2 linked regions of the Astyanax mexicanus genome follow. The protein of the gene in region 1 purifies or fractionates together with the protein of each later gene. This does not show direct contact. Links are inferred from orthologs where the notes say so. Each region holds a gene or a part of one and is shown on either strand. Other genes may lie near its edges. The genes, in order: vps50 and vps51.

The links.
Region 2: the proteins of vps50 (region 1) and vps51 purify together in Homo sapiens (affinity purification with mass spectrometry; 7 studies listed by BioGRID and IntAct, counting the BioPlex papers as one, with this or other methods). This does not show direct contact. The link is inferred for Astyanax mexicanus from reciprocal best matches to the Homo sapiens genes VPS50 and VPS51.

Annotation. Positions count from the first base shown.
Region 1 is NC_064410.1:48,235,537-48,245,057, forward strand, and holds the start of vps50 (syndetin), read left to right. Parts: upstream 1-5,391; 5' UTR 5,392-5,515; coding exon 5,516-5,548; intron 5,549-7,798; coding exon 7,799-7,867; intron 7,868-9,521.
Region 2 is NC_064427.1:12,762,783-12,772,373, forward strand, and holds the start of vps51 (vacuolar protein sorting-associated protein 51 homolog), read left to right. Parts: upstream 1-5,760; 5' UTR 5,761-5,912; coding exon 5,913-6,068; intron 6,069-6,388; coding exon 6,389-6,518; intron 6,519-6,631; coding exon 6,632-6,778; intron 6,779-6,906; coding exon 6,907-7,126; intron 7,127-9,591. UniProt on the Homo sapiens protein: Acts as a component of the GARP complex that is involved in retrograde transport from early and late endosomes to the trans-Golgi network (TGN).

The sequences.
Region 1 (9,521 bases):
CATAGAAATGAGATATTGTTCTTTATGTTGCCTTGAAGCAGTTTCTGCACAGATCAGTTTCTGCTGTTAGATTGTAAGATTTCCTTGCTCCTATTTTACAGTTAATAAATAAAAATGCTCTCCATTTTGAAAATAAAGATTTTAAGCAATTGCACATGAATATGAATGAAAGTGTCGTGTCCACAATGTATCCGAGGCAAGTGACAGAAGGCTTAGAACTCAGGACTGGACTCCAGCTGGGCTCACTCTTCACTTGAGTCACGACACAAACTTCTCCTGATTAAGTGATTCCATTTGTTGCAGGGTTGTTTTATCTTTGGTAATCTTTTTTTTTTTTTTTTTGCAATGTGCGGATTTTTGAATATTATCAAAATTTCAGTTCACCTAAAAGAGACCCCAGTATAAATGAATGTAGTTGATTCAGATTCACAAGACTAACTTTGTTTTCAGACAAGCTCAAATGACCAATCAAACATTTCTAGGTTCTTCAGAATGTTAAGCTGCATGTTCCTCAGTACAGTTGAATAATGATTTAAATACATAAAACCAACAACCCATAAACACCAAATTCTGTTGTTACAACTTCTAAAGAAAACCCAGCAGAACCAGAACCAAAGCTGTTCAATCAAAGTTGAACAGTAACATGTAATTGATGAAAGTTATATGAAAAATATGGTGTGATTTAATAACATTGAGCAGCTCACTACTGCATGACACAGGTTACTGCATGAACAAGGCTCTGTGTCTGCTGCTTTTCCTGTGCCAGTGTCTGCGGAAAGAGAGGCATCACGTGATAAAGCAAATCCTGGAGAGAGTAAACAGGGAGCTGACCTAGGCTAAGAGCTAGCTTTAACCAATCTGGACTATTCAATTTCATTTAAATTTATTTGTATAACACGTTTTACAACAGAAGTTGTGAGATCTGGGTCTGTTCTGTTGAGTAAGCACTAGAGCAATAATGACAAGAAAAAACTCCCTCAGTAAAAACTACATTACCTCATCCAAGATAGAGCTAAACATTAAATAAATCCAAAGTACTGGATTACTTTTTTATTAGTAGAGCTTGAGGAAGCCAAAAAACCTGTTAAAGTAAGCTAGGCTAAAGCAGTTGTAGCCAGGCAACAAAATGTAAGCTGAAAGCTTGTCTTGTACTGAGACAATATGAGGACAACAACACTGTTTGGTTAAACAAAGATTAAATTGGGAATATCATTGTTATTACAAGTTTAATAGGGCAGTCTGTATTATTTTGTTTCTAAACTGAAAGCCTAAGCATTTCTGAGTGGAGAAGGGACAACATTTTGTGTTTAGTGGTATCAGTGTGCTGAAACAACCTTCCCTGCTAAGCCTAATATATTCATTGTAAAAACTGGTGTTTTTACGTACTTATACCACACGTACAGCCTATAAAAGAGGATCCGGCTCCGTTTTACTGAACTCAAGCGGCTGGTGGAGCAATGGAGACTTCAGAAGGGGAAACTCAGAGCTCAGTAGCTCATTCAACCATAATAAAACCAAACAAACGAAGAAGTGAAGTTTCTGAGCAGGCTCACTCTCTCTCTAAATGAACATAACATGGAATTGGATTCATCTGCTCTGAAATCACACCTGTCCAGTTTAAAATGATTCTTCCGCATGCTCGGTGCAATTACCCATTTTCACTAGAGAGGGTCCTAAATCCTTAAATAAAATCTCTGGTGTGAAATACACTTGTGGTCTGTTGAAACAGGATAATAAATACTAACTTTGGTTGAATAGCTCACCTCCAGCATTCCAAAATACAGCTCTTTTAGTTGATGCCTCCAACAGGCTTACAATGCTAGCGTTAGGGGCATATCATTGACCACAAGTTTATTTCACACTGGATTTCTCCTTTAAAGTTGTGATGATATGTGGGTTTAGCAAGTTTTGATGGAGGTGAAAAGCACTGAATACAATCTGAGCACAAAATTTATGTTTTTTCTATTTACAAACTCTTAGTAAATGAAATAATACATGTTTCTGCCACAGGATTGTAAATAGGATTGTCATCTGAGCTTTTTTTCACCTCAACCAAAGTCACATAACACATTACATAGTCACAAATAGGCAATAACTGCTTTTGTTCATCTTTAATTACCAGAGACTTTGCACTTTAAAGAGTGGGCACAGTAGAGACTGTTAGCCCTGAGGCTTTACTGGCAAACCGAGCACCAGGGCATTTTAATAAAAACTTGCATAATTATTCATTTGAACAATAATTGTATCTGCTTTTGTTCTTGGGGCAAGTTATTATCAGACAACTCCTATTATGAAGCGTATCTCCTTTCAGTTATTGTTAGCTGATCTAGCAAACTGATCAGAACCCTGAGGGCACATCAGTACATCACTAGTTTGCTGGACCTGAGTCGTAACACTGATACTAGCTGAACGATGCTGTTTATGTGCACAGGTTTTTATGGTGGAAGACCATCTGTTCAGTGTGTGTTTTGCAGGAGGAGCAGAGGAATTACACCTCCTCTGTCTGGAAGCTCTGCCGCTCCCTCATTTGACAGGGAAATCAGGACTAATGTCACTGACTTTTATTAACCAGGAACTGGTACCACTACTGCCTCTGTAGTGTTTACCTCACCCAGTATTTTATTTAGTAAAAGAATTATTTCCAAATAAACCCACCAGCATGCTGCTGCTTCCACTAATGTGTTTTGAGTTAAACAGTTCTTGGAACAGTAGGTGTTGAAGCATCGTGAAGAGAATGCAGTGTTTATGTTGTAAGACCTGTTGAGTAACGAGAATTTACATGGTTTAAAAAATCTGGACAATTTTTAGGATTACAGCTTAAACGTTTACAACGTTTAATCAGCATTATGTGACATTTTTAGCTTAAAATCTTAAGAATCATGATTATTGGTGAGAATTAGGGCATCTCACGTTATGTTCCCCACGATACTGATATCATGATACTGATACTGTGACAGTATTGTAGTTAATTTGTCTTACTTGACGATAAAAAACTACTAAATAAGCAAATACAAAGAATTATGGATTTATTAGTGTCAGTTTCGCACAATTAGACCAACAAATTGGGGGTTAAGTCTTAGGAAGTTTAAAGCGCCTATGTTTCAACACAAATATTAATATTTGATGCATTGCATCGACAATGTATCGCAAGTGACATGAAAATGGTAATGATATAATACATATATCAATATTTTGTTCCAATCCTTGTCATGCTTATGCTCTGCTAATGGATAATTAGATTTATATTGGTGTAGCATACAGTAGTACTGCTCAGTCATGTCAGTCTATTGGCAGGCCGAACCCAGGTATACATACATTATTCTCCGTATTACACATATACAGCCATATACACCATTTGTATTGGACATAGTGGAATTTGGTCGCCACCTTTAATCTTTCCTTGCAATGAACATAAACACACACATGAACACAGTGATATGATGTGCCCCGACTGGTGGTCAGGCATTGCTGCATTGTTCTGGGAGCAGTGAATGTTGGGGTCCTTTTCTCCAGGGCCCAGGAGTGGCTGCTCCCAGGTACTGAACCCACAAATCTACCTAACTATCATTAGTAACCCGGTGCTTTAACTACCTAGCCACAAATGCCCCATACATTGCCCCACTGTCTTTACTACATTGGAACATCAAGATTTTACAGCTGTAATTTCATACAAAAATGTTATACACTGCCTGACCAAAAAACTTTTTCTTCCCTGATGACACAGGCATATTTCAAGATGACGATGTCAGGATTCATGGGGCTGCAATAGTGAAAGAGTGATTCAGGGAGCATGAGATCATTATTTTCACACATGGATTGTTCACCACAGAGTCCAGACCTTAACCTCATTGAGAATCTGTGGGATGTGCTGGAGGAGGCTTTGTGCAGTGGTCAGACTCTACCATCATCAATGCTGCTGCAAGATCTTGAAAAACATAAATTCAACACTGGATTGAAATAAATCTTGTGACATTGCAGAAGCTTATTAAAACAATGACACAGTGAATGTGTGCCACAATCAAAGCTAAAGGCGCTCCAACAAAATATTCGAGTATGTAACCTTTTTTTTTTTTTTTAAGTTGCTTTAAGTTTTTAATAATAGACATTTTATCATTTACTATTTTACCTTATGCTGATGGTTCAATACAGTTCACACAAAACCTCACTGCATGGACTGTAAACCAAGGAATGCCCAAGGAAAGACAACCTGCAGAGGAATGACAAAACACTGATGGTAAGTGAGGAGGAACATGCCCAGTGTGCATTCCCAGTGCCAGCGTCCAATCAGATAGTTGTGAGTTTTATTCAACAAGTCTCTGCTGCCCAAATATCAGGTCAACACAGATCACCATATTCAATTTATATTAAATAACATAACAGTTTTTGAGTACAGTTTTTAGAGTATCTTGCTTATAATAAGCAAGGAATAAGCAAGATAGTACTGTTCGGAATCTATCTCTCAATATATTTTTTAAATATCTATATTGATTCCAGCAAGTTTCCTTGGTATATTTTTTGCACTGATGACCAATTATTCAACCACTTTACAATCAAGACTTTGTTGAATAAAGATCAAACAAATCCTAATATCTCACTGTCTGCATTTTATACTGTTCATTCATTGTTACACTGCTGCCATCTGCTGGCGATAAAGAGCAACAGCATTTTTTTTCAGAGACCAAATTATTGGTTTGTATTGTCACTGTCAATCACCCAGCCCAGGTAGTTTGGGAAGGAAAAGCAGCTAACAAAAGCTCAGCACTTCTAGAACTCCTTTCACACACACCTTAATCCTAGGTTACATGAGTCTGCTAGTGTAACCTCATTATATCCAGATGAAGAGATTTATCTGGAAAGATTTTTTTTTAAAGATGACAGGCTGAAATGAAAACAAATGAAATTTAAATAGGAGTAACTAGGTATTTTTTTTTACCTATAAGAATCCAAATAAATTTCTGAATATAGAGGCTAAATTCAAAACTAAATTAGATAAATTCAGTAAGCATAACATTCATGTTTTTTTCTTATTGTTCAAAAAATCAGGTCAGAACTAGTTCTATGGAACCTAAAACATTTAAAAGCATTTAAATGGTTAAATAATTTGAACATGTGTGTTCAAGCAAATGATAAACTTCTACAGTTAATATATCTATGTTTTAAATAATATGTGGCACATACATCACAATGGGTTCAAATGTAAGGGTTAGAAACTACAGATAACTGTGTGAAAATGTAAGGAGTAGATGTAGAATTATTACTCCAGTAAAGTAACGTTATAGATATAACCAACATTTCTAATTTTGTATTTCTAATGTTTATGCTTCATTACCTGACTGCGCTGTCTCTGGGCTATCTAAACTACACAACCCAGAATGCACCACTGACCCTGCCCGGTCACGTGAGCACAGAGAAACATGGCAGCGGTCTGAGAGAGAGAGGTGTATTGAGAGGCTGTGTGAAACATTAGTGCAGTAGGATCCGCGGAGCTGGATTTACCCCCGTGCTGAGCTGTAAGATGCAGAAGATCAAGTCTCTGATGTCCCGCCAGGTGAGCAGCGCTACAGCGGTACAGCTCAGTCTGTGAGATATATAGAGAAAGAGGGATAGAGAGATGAGAGAGGACCGGAAGTGTAGTTAGCCAGGTGATAAACAGATGATGCTAGCGGCGGAGAGCACAGCGGTGCAGCTCTGAACCCGGGCATGAGCAGAGAGCCGGGCATGTTTATAAACATGCGGTTATCTGATTTTACAAATAAAAAACAACCTGGAATTGTTTACAAGCTTTTAGCTTTAGTGTGAGTGAGCAGAGGAGCGAGTAGAGCTGACTCAGGGGCTTCCACTGCGTTTAACCAGCAGAGGAATAATAATAATAATAATAATAATAATAATAATAATAATAACAACAACAACAACAACAACAACAACAACAACAACAACAACAACAACAATAATTATCTGTCTGCCTAATATTAGGCATTAGCTAATTAGTTAACTTACATTGGTTGTCATTGTGTAGCTGTAGTCGTTCATATTCAGTTGTTCAGCTTGGGTTTTGAGTTTTAGCGGTTAGTTTAAGAAAAGCAGTTTTTTATCGTATCTTGCTATCCCCTTCCTCTTTCTCTCTCTCTCCCCCTCTCTCAGCATAGTATTAAACATTACATTAGCATTGTGTTTATTGTGTATCTGTAGAGGTTCATGTTCAGTTGTTCTCTCTCTCTCTCTCTCTCTCTCTCTGTCTTTCTTTCTCTTTCTCTCTCTCTCTCTCTCAACATACTGTTAAACATTACATTAGCATTGTGTTTATTGTGTATCTGTAGAGGTTCATATTTAGTTGTTTTCTCTCTCTTTCTCTCTCTCAGTATAGTATTAAACATTACATTAGATGTTAGCATTGTGTTTTTTTGTATCTGTAGTGGTTCATATTTAGTTGTTTTCTCTCTCTTTCTCTCTCTCTCTCTCTCTCTCTCTCTCTCTCAGTATAGTATTAAACATTACATTAGATGTTAGCATTGTGTTTTTTTTGTATCTGTAGTGGTTCATATTTAGTTGTTTTCTCTCTCTTTCTCTCTCTCTCTCTCTCTCTCAGTATAGTATTAAACATTACATTAGATGTTAGCATTGTGTTTATTTGTTGCTGTAGTGGTTCATATTCAGTCGTTCAGCTTTAGGGGTTTTGGGTTTTAGGGTTAGTTTAAGAAAGCCTTCGTTTTTTATGCTAGCTTGCTACCCCCTTCTCTCTCTCTCTGGCTCTGTTTTAATGCTTGTTTACTATCCCTCTCCTGTCTTTCTCACAGCATGTTAGCTTTACACATTTCATTAGCCTTGTGTTTATTGTGTATATGTAGAGGTACATACTCAGTTGTTTAGTTATAGAAAGGCTTCATGTTTTTATGAAAGTTTACTATCCCCTCTCTCTCTCTCTCTCTTTTAGCATATTATTAAACATTACGTTGGTTAGCATTGTGTTTATTGTGTATCTATATTGGTTCATATTCAGTTGTTCGCTCTCTCTCAGCATAGTATTAAACCTTATCTACATTAGCTATCATTGTGTGTGTAGCTGTAGTGGTACACATTCAGTTGTTCAGCTTGGGTTTCTGGTTTTAGGTTAGTTTAGAAATGAAACTCTGTTTTCATGCTAGCTTGCTATACACACAGCATAGTATTAAAAATTACATTAGCATTGGGTTTATTGTGTAGCTGTAATTGTTCATATTCTGTTGTTCTCTCGTGCTTTCTCTCTCTCTCTTGTTCTCTCAATTTCACCCTCACAGCATAGCAACATATATTACCTAAGTTAGCATTGTGTTAATTTGTAGCTGTAGTGGTACACATTCAGATCTGCTCAGTTAGTTAGTTTAAGAAAGTCAATGTTTTTATGCTAGCTTGCTCTCTCCCTCCACTTTGTCTTTTTCTCAGCATCAATATTACATTGGTTAGCATTGTGTTTAATTGTAGCTGTATGGGGACATATACAGTTGTTCAGCTTTAGGGATTTTAGAAGTTTTTATGCTAGCTACCTACTCCCATCCATTCTCTCTCTCTCTCTCTCTCTCTCTCTCTCTCTCTCTCTCTCTCTCTCTCTCACACATTCCCTCTCATTCTCTTACTCTCTCTATCCCTCTCACAGCATAGTAATAAGTAAGTATACATTGGTTAGCATTGTGTTTATTTGTAGCTGTATCGGTACACATGCAGTTGTTCAGCATTAGGGATTTTAGTGATTAGTTTATGAATAATTTAATGTAAATGCTAACCGATTAACTGATGGTGGTGATTTTGTGTTTTTCCCTAACAGGGCTTGAAAAGCCCTCAGGAGAGTATGGCAGATATGAGCCCTGTAGAGAACTTCAGGATCCCCAGCAAGGTGAGTTGGATAAGTATTTCTTCATACAGATTACTTAACCTAGGAAGTGTGACTGTGCATAGTAACAGTTACAGTTGCACTTTACTGTAGCATTTTACTTCATCACCATAATGCAACATGAATTGTCATCTAGAAAATAGGAACATGTTGTTAACGGATTAAACTCAGCAGTTGCTTTCTGCTCTAGTCTGCTTTCACGTAGCTCTAGACTGAGTAAACAACTTGAGGCCTAGCCCCTTTTATCTGATATGGCTGATAGAGGAAAGCATTAAATCAACTGCACTAGCGTATTTTGTTCCATATGATAATTTCCTGTGTTCCCTCAGATCTCCTTAGAACTGAGCTCTTTGCATTAGGCTACAAAGTACTGATTACATAGAGATAATGCTACTGATATTGCCATTGCTGTTTAAACAGCTAGTAATGTCCATATGGCTGTCCAGTATATAGTGTTATGTTATTGTTTCTATTTTGCCCTTAAATAACTATTCAATGTGGTATATGATGGGACAGTTTCAGTCCTGCTTGCCAGTGGAAGTGCTTTTTTTAATCATGCCAGCCTTTAGTTACAAAGGATGCTATGATGTTTTTAAGTCTTTTTTAGGACCATTTGGCCTGATTTGCCCACAGTTTTACTTCAGCTTTTTCAGAACTCTGCTTTAGAGACTGAGGAAGTAAGTGTCAAAAAGAATAATTTACCCATTACGCTGTGTGTCACCTCAATATATGCATATACTGTACGTGTACACTTCTTTTCGCATAATTTTAGTATATATATATATATGCTGTAGTAAATGGCATTAGTTATTTGTGCAGCTAGAGGGTAGTCTCACCTTATACAATGGAAAGTGTGATGAAGGTTTTTGACACACAAGGTGAATGGTGCCTGCACAGTACACTGTTCTATTGTATGTGGGAGTTAGGGGTGGATGATATGGCATATTCCAACATTTAATTTTTTATATTTTTATTATTCATTTTAAGAATATACTATTGCAACAAAATAAACATTAAAGTTTAATGTATTATAAATATTTTTGTCTATTTCATAAAAAGTAACTTACTAAGAATTGTATTAAAAAATAATAGCGTGACAAAATAAGGTAATGTTAAAAAAAAAGCATAAATATAAACTGCAAAGTAACACTTCAGTATGTGTAGATTATTTAGTTGTCTTTGCTTCTGGACCACTCACATGAGAAAAGCTGTGTGGGACCGTATAGAGTTCTGTGGTATTCAGTCTCTCTTGCTTTGTTATGAGGTACAGGTGGAACACAGCAGGAGGTTAAGCTGCTTCAGCCATTCGGAGCAGCAGCAGTGGGAGTAAAGTCAGACCATGGCCAATTAGCTGTGAAGACTATTATGATAATTTGCATGTTTGAACAGTACTGTATCTATGAGGCACTGTGGGTTAACCTCTTGACATTACAGACTTTCATCATTCTCTCTCTTTTAACTTAATGAAAGTCCACAAGTTGTTCATAGAAATATGATTGACTGAGTAGCATTCATCTGCTCTGTGTCAATACTGTAAACAGTATATATCATTTAAACTGTAGTACTTTATTTGCCTGTAAGCTAGCAGTGGCCACTAGGCTATAGAACATTTTATGCAGTCAGTAAACCTGGTTAAAAATAAATTTTGTCTCGTAAT
Region 2 (9,591 bases), on another chromosome or scaffold:
AGGAGAACTTCTGTTTTATCACTATTTAATAGGAGGAAGTTGTGCGACATCCATGATTTTACATCTTCTACACAATCCTCGATTTTCTTTAATCTCACTCTGTCATCAGGTTTGGCTGATATGAAGAGCTGCGTGTCATCCGCATAACAATGAAAATTCACATCATGTTTTCTAATAACTTTGCCCAGTGGGAGCATATATAATGTAAATAATAACGGTCCTAATATAGAGCCTTGTGGAATTCCATATCTTACCTTGGTATAACTGGAAGACATATCATTTATCCTCACAAACTGATAGCGATCGGTTAAGTACGATTTAAACCATGCTAAGGCAGTTCCAGTTACACCAACCATGTTCTCTAGTCTTTCTAAAAGGATAGTATGATCTATTGTATCAAAGGCTGCGCTCAGATCGAGAAGTACGAGTAGGGAAACACAGCCTTGGTCGGCGGCTATAAGTAGATCGTTTGTTATTCTAACTAAAGCTGTCTCAGTGCTATGATAAGGCATAAATCCAGATTGATATTTTTCATAGATTTGGTTTCTTTGCAGGTAAGAGCAAAGTTGTTGGGCTACAGCTTTTTCTAAAATCTTAGAAATAAAGGGTAAGTTTGAAATAGGTCTATAGTTAGACAGTAAAGTAGGTTTCTTGATCAGAGGTTTAATTACAGCTGTTTTAAAGGCTTTGGGTACATGGCCCAGGGTGAGCGATGAGTTTACTATCATTAACAGAGGTTTAATTATATCTGGTAGTACCTGTTTTAGTAATTTTGTGGGAACAGCATCAAGTGTGCAGGTTGTGCTGTTTGAAGAGGAGATAATTTTCTCTAGTTCTAGCTGTGGAAGTGGGTTAAAGACTTGCAACCTAACTTCGGTGACAGGGTTTTGTTCTAGATCAGCCAGACCAGATGACAGAGAGGATGTAATATTTATCTGTTTAATTTTATCCCGAATGTTTTAAATTTTACTATTGAAGAAGTCCATAAAATCGTTGCTGGTGTGAATGGCTGGAATCTGAGGTTCAGTACCTGCCTGGCTTTTAGTTAATTTGGAAATAACACTAAAGAGAACTCTAGGATTATTTTTATTTATCTCGATCTGTGAGGCCAGATATGCTGAGTGGGCTTTATAAAGTTCTTTTCTATATTTAACAAGACTGTCTTTCCACGCAGAGTGAAACACTTCCAGTTTAGTTGAACAATATTTACGCTCTAAATTTCGTACTAACTGCTTTAAGGTACGAGTTTGATCATTGTACCACGGTGCGAGCTTTTTCTGTCTCTCTATTTTGTGTTTAAGGGGTGCTACAACATCTAAGGTAGAGCGAAAGGTATTTTCTAAACCTTTGGTTAGTTTGTCTAGTTCTACTGGGTCTATAGGAGAATATATTAGAGTTGATAAGTCTGGAAGCTTATCTGTAAATTGTTGGGCTGTAAACTATCCACCTCCAAAGCTCAGCTTGGAACAGTGAGAATGCTTATGTCAACAAATATCAAAACTATTCTGAACACAAAGCTATTTATTTGAGCATAACATGGTATTTTTGTCTCTTTCGTTCAAGATGGCTGTTAAAGATTTATACTAGGTTCACCTAAAAAAACAAATTGAGAAGTGTGATCTACAAAAGGAACACATAAAATGGCAAATAAAACAGACAAGACTGGAAATGTGAGAGTAGTTGCTGTGAGTGTATATATCTGTTTTTACCAAGAATAAGGACAAGAAAATTCACTTGTTGGCTTTTTTTTTTCTTTAGGAAATAAATAAATCAAAAACATAGGCCTGATCAAATTTACGGTATAGTGCAGACTCTCGAAAAATCTTTGCATCATGTACAGAGCATGGCTATTTGGCTTCAGCATTAGTAATGTTGGTAGCATCACATATAATCTTAATAGTGGAGAAAATATGTTTTTGTAATGTATTAAGTATTAGTCCTTATACAATACTTGTATATTAATGCTGTGGAAGTATTTGCTGTTTACATAATCCCCTTCATTTTTGCCAGGTGCTTTAATTGGAATGTGGATTCACACATAACCAATCTGACCACTGTGTATATTCCCAAGAGTCAAAAGAAGGGAAAGTGATGATAATTGTATGGGTTGATGACTTAATTATCGCTGCAAGCGATGAAGAGAAACTGAAAAATGTGAAAGGGATGCTTGCAGAGCAATTCAAGATGAAGGATTTGGGTAAACTCAAACATTTTCTTGATATTGATGTCACAAGAGAAGTACATCAACAAAATTCTACAGCGTTTCAACATGTCAGAGTGTAGGGTGAGAGAAACCCATTGTGAGTAAAAGCTCGAATACAGTGGTGATGCAGTTAAATGACAGACATCAGGATGTAGAGAGAGGCCGTGGGCAGTCTGATATACCTAACAACCTGCACTAGGGCTGATCTGAGTTTTGTGGTGAGAAGGCCGTCACAATACCTAGCTGAGCCTACAGAGAAGCAATGGGTAACTGTGAAGCATGTCCTGTGATACGTTAAAGGTACAGCAGACAAAGGTTTAACCTTTAGGAGAAACAACACTGAGAATCTTGGTATACAAGCCTACAGTGATGCAGACTGGGCGGCTGATACTAGTGATCGCCGCAGTACCTTCTGTTGCACTTTCCATATGCGAAGCACAGTATATGGCACTTGCTTCTACTGTTCAAGAGTGTCTTTACCTAGAAAAATTACTGGGGAATATGGATAGTTAAAAATACACTCAAACGGTAATACATGAAGACAATCAGGGAACAATTGCTCTTGCCAGAAACCCTGTAAACAGAAAGCGTTGAAAACACAGACATTAAGTATCTCTTTATTAGGTCTACTGTGAATGAGGGTGAAGTAAAATTTAATGTATTGTGTTACTGATAAAATGGTCGCTGATGTGATGACGAAACCTGTAAGCAAGTTTAAACTGAGAAATTTTGCAGGTTTTCCTTTTGGTGTTTAATATGTGTAAGCCAAGGGTACACATTCGTTGAATTTTTGTTTTGTTGTTACCAACCTGAGTACAGTGGGGGTGTTAAAATGTATGAAAAAAAATATGTCCTCAGGTTACATGACTTGTAAATACTGTTATGTTCTCTTAGTGTTGTACCCCTGACAATGGGAAGGAATAAAGAGAGACTAGATTGTGATGTTTCCTCTTGTGCTGTATTGTAGAGAATCTTTTTCATAAAGTACAAAACAACTCAAAAGCAAAATTGTCTTTCAGTAGGTATCTTTCAGCATTAACAATTGCTTTATACTACAGAGAAACATTAACTAAACTTCCTTGCACAGTATACAACATTGTTGAACATTGTTTACAGAGAGATAGAATATAGATAAAATAAAAAACATATTTATGCATATAATTACTGGAACAGGCCAATATTCAATCCCTGTAGCAATATTTGTTCTCATAAATCCCTGCTTAAACATGCACCCCATGCTATTGTATAAACAATTAAGCAGGCCTAAGAACAATAAGCTACTGCTAACCACATGCTCAGTCTGCTACACACAGTAGTGTTTTTAGCATATTTATCTCACTCAAAACTTTCAGAAAAACAAAACAACATGTTCTCTAAACAGAGCACTTTTATGTTCATGGGTGAATCTACCTTTTTTTATACATATTTACCTGACAATGGGAAGGAATAAAGAGAGACTAGACTGTGATGTTTTCTCTTGTGCTGTATTGCAGAGAATGAGAAAACACATCAGAGCGCCCCCTTAAGTTCCTCTTAGAAATAACTTCCCCACTGAAAGGACTGACAAGAGCTCCCCCTATTGTCCACTTATACACAAACCATCTTTTTCATAGTAGCTAAATCCTTTTAGGACTCTGATAAGAATAAAATCACCATTTTTCACTCAAATAACTTTTATCTAAATTAATCTCTGCTGTATAAACTCATTTGAGTCTTCTATTCTTCCTGTGCAATGCATGACTTTTTAGCCTTTTTACTAAAGTTAACATGAATAAACTAAACAAGGAAACAACATTAACATAATTAACCTAATTTAATCTTTTTTAACCCACACTGTCTTTGTATATTTAACTCTTTTTAACCATTTTTACCCACACCGTGTATTTTTAGATTATTTACCTCTTTTAACTCATGAATGTTATTATATATACCACATTAGCGACACTAGAGGGCGCAAGAACACAAAAAAAGAGTAATGTGTGAACGTTCATGTTGTATTTTGGCACAATGTCGGACACTTTTCACATGTATAAGTCAGTCTTATGTTTGCTTATGTTTCTATGCTCACGTGGCTGTAAATATAAATTTAATTTGCAGAATATATTAACCTTAAAATAGCCTACAATGTCACTGTAGGCTCAAGTGCACACAAGTAATATATTAACCAATAAAGCGTTTTTTTCTTCTTCTGGTAATTATATTTTTCTGGCAGTGCAGTGCAGTACTGTGCTTAAAAGCTATTGTCAATGCCCTCTGACATTGAGAGTGTGCAGGGCCCAGAATTTGCTGCTACACCCCTGTAGCTGAGGGTACACCAGAGTATCCTAACCAGGAAGTCTTTTAAGGAATTTGGAGTGACATAGCTGTGGACACGCCCACAGAGCACACTTATTTCATGAAATAATTATTTATTTACTGATATATATTTGAATTGTGTATATGTAGAAATCATATAACGTTATAAAACGTGATTATAGAAAAATATATTTACTTATTATGAAAAAAAAGATAAATATAACATTAAATAACACACAAGGCACCCACTTTTATCTAATTGGCAAATATGTAATAACATTTTAGAAATCCAGTGTTTTTTTTTTTTTGCAATGAGCAGGAGTTTAAATATCCAATTAATACAAATTAAGGGTGACCGTATATTTGCTGACTGTTTGCAGCAGCTGTGTATGACTGGACATTCAGTATTAGAGCTGAAAGCGAGTGTTGTGATTGGCTCAGTTTATTAGCAGTCAAAATAATATCTGAAAGGAATCAGCTGTCCCATTTTTTGCTGAAGTTATGTGGGCCGTCATGTGTGAGGGCTGCATGTGCATGTGGGTTTCCTCCGGGTACTCCGGGTTCCTCCCTCCCACAGACCAAACTGCTTCTGCTGTTTTTTCTTAGTTTTGCATGATAGTGCTGTTTAGGTACTAAATTTGATTAATTTTTCTTTTGCATGATTTGCAGTTTTCCATAGTTTGCAGTTCATAATTCAATCGCATGTTCAGATTTCAGTATTTATTTATTTATGTTTATTCATGAAACAAAAAAAAACAAGCCGTGTAAATATTTAATTACTAACTCCATTACTAATTATTCTATCAATATTTAGTGAAATGGTGTTTCTTACCTCTAACAGGTTGGTTCGATTCGGATAATTCATTCGTTTTTCACAAAAAACAAAAACAAATACAAACTTTTTTTTATGTTAATGTTTTTAAAGACCAACATATAAAACATAATATTTTTACATAACATTAAAACATAACACTGCATGTTGTTTTAGGGAAATATGGTGAAAAGTGAGTATTTTCCTTTTTATTAGAGATTCTCCTCTTTAAGAATGTTCTCTCTATTAGAGATATCCTCTCTATCTAAAATTCTTCTCTCTATTAGAGAATATGCTCTCTATTAGAGATTATTTTCTTTATTTAAGATTCTTCTCTCTATTAGAGATTCTCCTCTCTATCTAAGATTCTTCTCTCACAACTTTGTAATACAAAACTAATTTGTATTTTGTACTAAGTTTTTTTTTCTTGTGGACTTTTATTTTGACAGTTAAGGATCGCCATTTCCCCGCTGCTAGATTCTGTGACGTTCTGCTGGGAATCCGGTAACCCCGCATTACTGCGGTAGGTGTTCCGAAAACTGGAGAGTTCATTGCGTTATTTTTGCTCCGGTTTTGGGTTTATTAGTGTGTGTTTATCGTGGGATGGAGGTCGACTCGGGCAGCTCCTCTCCGGGCCGGAAGCGGCGGCTCCTCCGACTGTACTACAGTTCAGGCCCGGAGCCGCCGCCGCAGCAGCAGGAGCCGGAGCCCTGCGACATCAATGGGGCTCACTTTGACCCAGAGATTTACCTCAATAAGGTACAGCTAACACACCGACTTCCATATATAATAATCAGTCATATTTACAGCAGCTACTACAGTCCATTCACAAATTAACCCCCGTATTTGAAATAAGTACCGGTATACCATTTCAGTAATTACAATTTTACTGTAGGAATTTTATTAAATTCACATATTTACTCCAGTAGTTACTTAAACATACGTTTTTACCTCACTATTACCAGCAAAAAACATAATCACCGCAGCAATTATAGTCTAAAAAATACATTTTATTTATCTATGTGTAATAATTTTGTTGGCTTTTTAACAAATAATGAATAAGTGTGCATGTTGTCTAGCTGAGGAAAGAGTGTTCTCTGGCAGAGCTGATGGATCAGGAGAGCTGTATGGTAAAACAGATAAGATCCCTCGACAGCGACATGCAGACACTTGTTTATGAAAACTACAATAAATTCATTTCTGCAACAGGTTAGTAAATTGAGCATAGTTTTATTTACCTGACATTAAGTTTCAGTCTGAAAGCTTGTCTACTGCTCTATTTTAAATGTAAACAATATTATAACAATATTTACTGTCCTCAGACACAATCAGGAAGATGAAGAATGACTTTAAAAAAATGGAGGATGAGATGGACTGCCTGTCTACCAATATGTCTGCCATAACTGAGTTCAGTGCGAGGATCAGTGGAACGCTGCAGGACCAGCACACCCAGATCACAAAACTGTCAGGCACGGAAGACATTCCTTCATAGACCCACCTGTCCATCAGATATTGACACCTGTTTCTCTAGATGAACTGTTGTTCTTATTCTTATTTGTCTTCTCTCGTCTCCCATTTTCCCTCTGTCTCAGCGCAGGTGTTCACACTCTCCTGCGGAAGCTGCAGTTTCTGTTTGAACTGCCGGCGAGGCTGAATAAGTGTTTGGAGCTGCAGGCGTATGCTCAGGCGGTGAGCTCTCACCGGCGGGCACGCTGTGTGCTTCAACAGTACAGCCACATGCCCTCTTTCAGGGGCATCCAGGATGACTGCCACGCCATCATGGAGCGACTTGCACACCAACTACGGCAGAAATTCAGGTTTGATGGGGCAACAAATACTGTGTAACTGTGATGGAGATTGAACATTATCTCTGTTATGTCAGTTTACATTTTTATATTGACCTGTTATTTACCTGCCTTTTAATAACTCGATATCTAATGGCTTATTTTTAGAGAACAATCATAACTTAACATCTTACAGCTTTTTCAAAATCAGTACCAGAAGAGACTATATTTTACTGCATTCTGTACCACCGTATTTACACACAACTGCATGTTCAGAATGTATAAAAATACCCATAAGAAAGCAGATAAAGCATTATAGCGCTTAAAAGAGAAATTAAAGAAAAATTACAGAGATAAAACCAGATTGTGGTGTGTACAGTTTTCTACACCGCCACTGAAAAAATAGAGAGTCCGAAAAGTTCAGACTGAATTGTCTCATTCATCACATTATTAACATCAGCATTCTAAGACTTATTTATCCAACTTACTGAATATTTGAAACTTTTTTCAGAAATAAAAACAGAAAAGTGGGGCGTGCAATATTATTCAGCCCTCTTGCATTAATACTTTATAGTGCCATCTTTTGCTGCGATTACAGCTGTAGATTGTCAATTTTGCTTTATGTTTTGGATCATTGTCTTGTTCGAAGATAAATCTCTGACCCAGACTCCAGACGTTTGCAGACTCCAGCAGGTTTTCTTTTAGAATGCTCCTGTATTTAGCTCCATCCATCAATTTTAACCATCTTCCCTGTCCCTGCTGAAGGAAAGCAGGACCAATCCAGGATGCTGCCACCACCATGTTTCACTTTGGGGATGGTGTGTTCAGGGTGAGCAGTGTTACTTTTCAGCCACACTTTGTATTTAGGCCAAAAAGTTCAACTTTGAATTGTTTGATCACAGCACCTTCTACCACATGTTTGCTGTACAAACAGCACTTCTTATGTCTTTCTTTCAGCAGTGGCTTCCTTATTGCCACTGCTTCACAAAGGCCATATTTGTGGAGTGCACAACTTATTGTTGTCCTGTCAACAGATTCTTCCTCCTTAGCTGTAGATCTCTGCAGTTCATCCAGAGTGATCATGGGCCTCGTGGCTGCATCTCTGCTCTTCTCCTTGTTTGAGCTGAAAGTTTAGAGGGACGGCTGGGTCTTGGTAGATTTGCAGTGGTCTGATACTCCTTCAATTTCAATATGATCGCTTGCACAGTGCTTATTGAGATGTTTAACACTTGGAAAATCTTTTTTTAATCAAAATCCGGCTTTAAACTTTTCCACAACAGTATCTCGGACCTGCCTACTGTTTTTTGGTCTTCATGATTCTCTCTGTGCTTTAAACAGAGCTCTGAGACTATCACAGAGCAGGTGCATTTATACAGAGACTTGATTACACACAGGTGGATTCTATTTATCATCATCACTCATTTAGGTCAACATTGGATCATTCAGAGATCCTCACCGAACGTCTGGAGTGAGTTTGATGCACTAAAAGTAAAGGGGCTAAATAATATTGCACGCCCCACCTTTCAGTTTTTTATTTCTAAAAAAAGTTTAAAATATCCAATAAATGTTGTTCCACTTCAAGATTGTGTCACACTTGTTACAATACAATTTCATATATTTATGTTTGAAGCCTGAAATGTGGCAAAAGGTTGAAAAGTTCAAGGGGGCCGAAAAACGTTTGCAAGGCACTGTACGTAACTTTATACAACTGCTACTAACTACTACTTATATTTTTATTTTGTATTTGTGTTTGTAATGAGGATGTTGAATGGTTATTGTGCATTGATGCATCTTAAAGATTTCCACAATCACAGAAAATTGAGGTTGTGTCCTAAAGCCCATGCTACCACACTAAATAGTAGGGCTGGACCCGAATATTCGGGTATTCGGATATTCGTTCGTTGAGTAGGTATTCGGTTTTTAATTTTGGTATTCGGATATTCGTTTTTTTTCTCCTTTCCAGAGTTCCACCTCACTCTAACCACTTCTGTTCTCTCGGGTCCCGTCAGAATATCTTGCGCGCGGGACAGAACTGAACTGTTATTGGCTGGAGCGGGAGTTTAATCCAGACGATGCGGGAGCAAATTAATAAATAGTTAAGAAAACTGTAATAATTGTAAAAAAAAAAAAAACCTAAAGAAAACTCTCAACGCGCAGGATGGACCGACACACACACGCACACACCGATGGTGTTTGGACTGGGGTAAGGAACGGGACCACACTATTCAGCGCTGCTGTTTTAATAAATATATAAGTAAATTTGAAGCATTAAATGTAGTTTATTTAATTTATATTAGGAACGTGGGGCGGGAGCGGCAGAAATGTGTATGTGGCGGGCGGGCGCGGGATTAAAAGAAGCAATTTTTTTGCGGCGCGGTAACGAGACAGAAACGCGGGAGCGTGGAAGAGTGGGTTTAAAAATCAGTCTCGCGCAGACATGATAAAAAAAATGCAGGCTCTTCGAAACTGATTTATATAATAAAACGTAAGGGGTAATG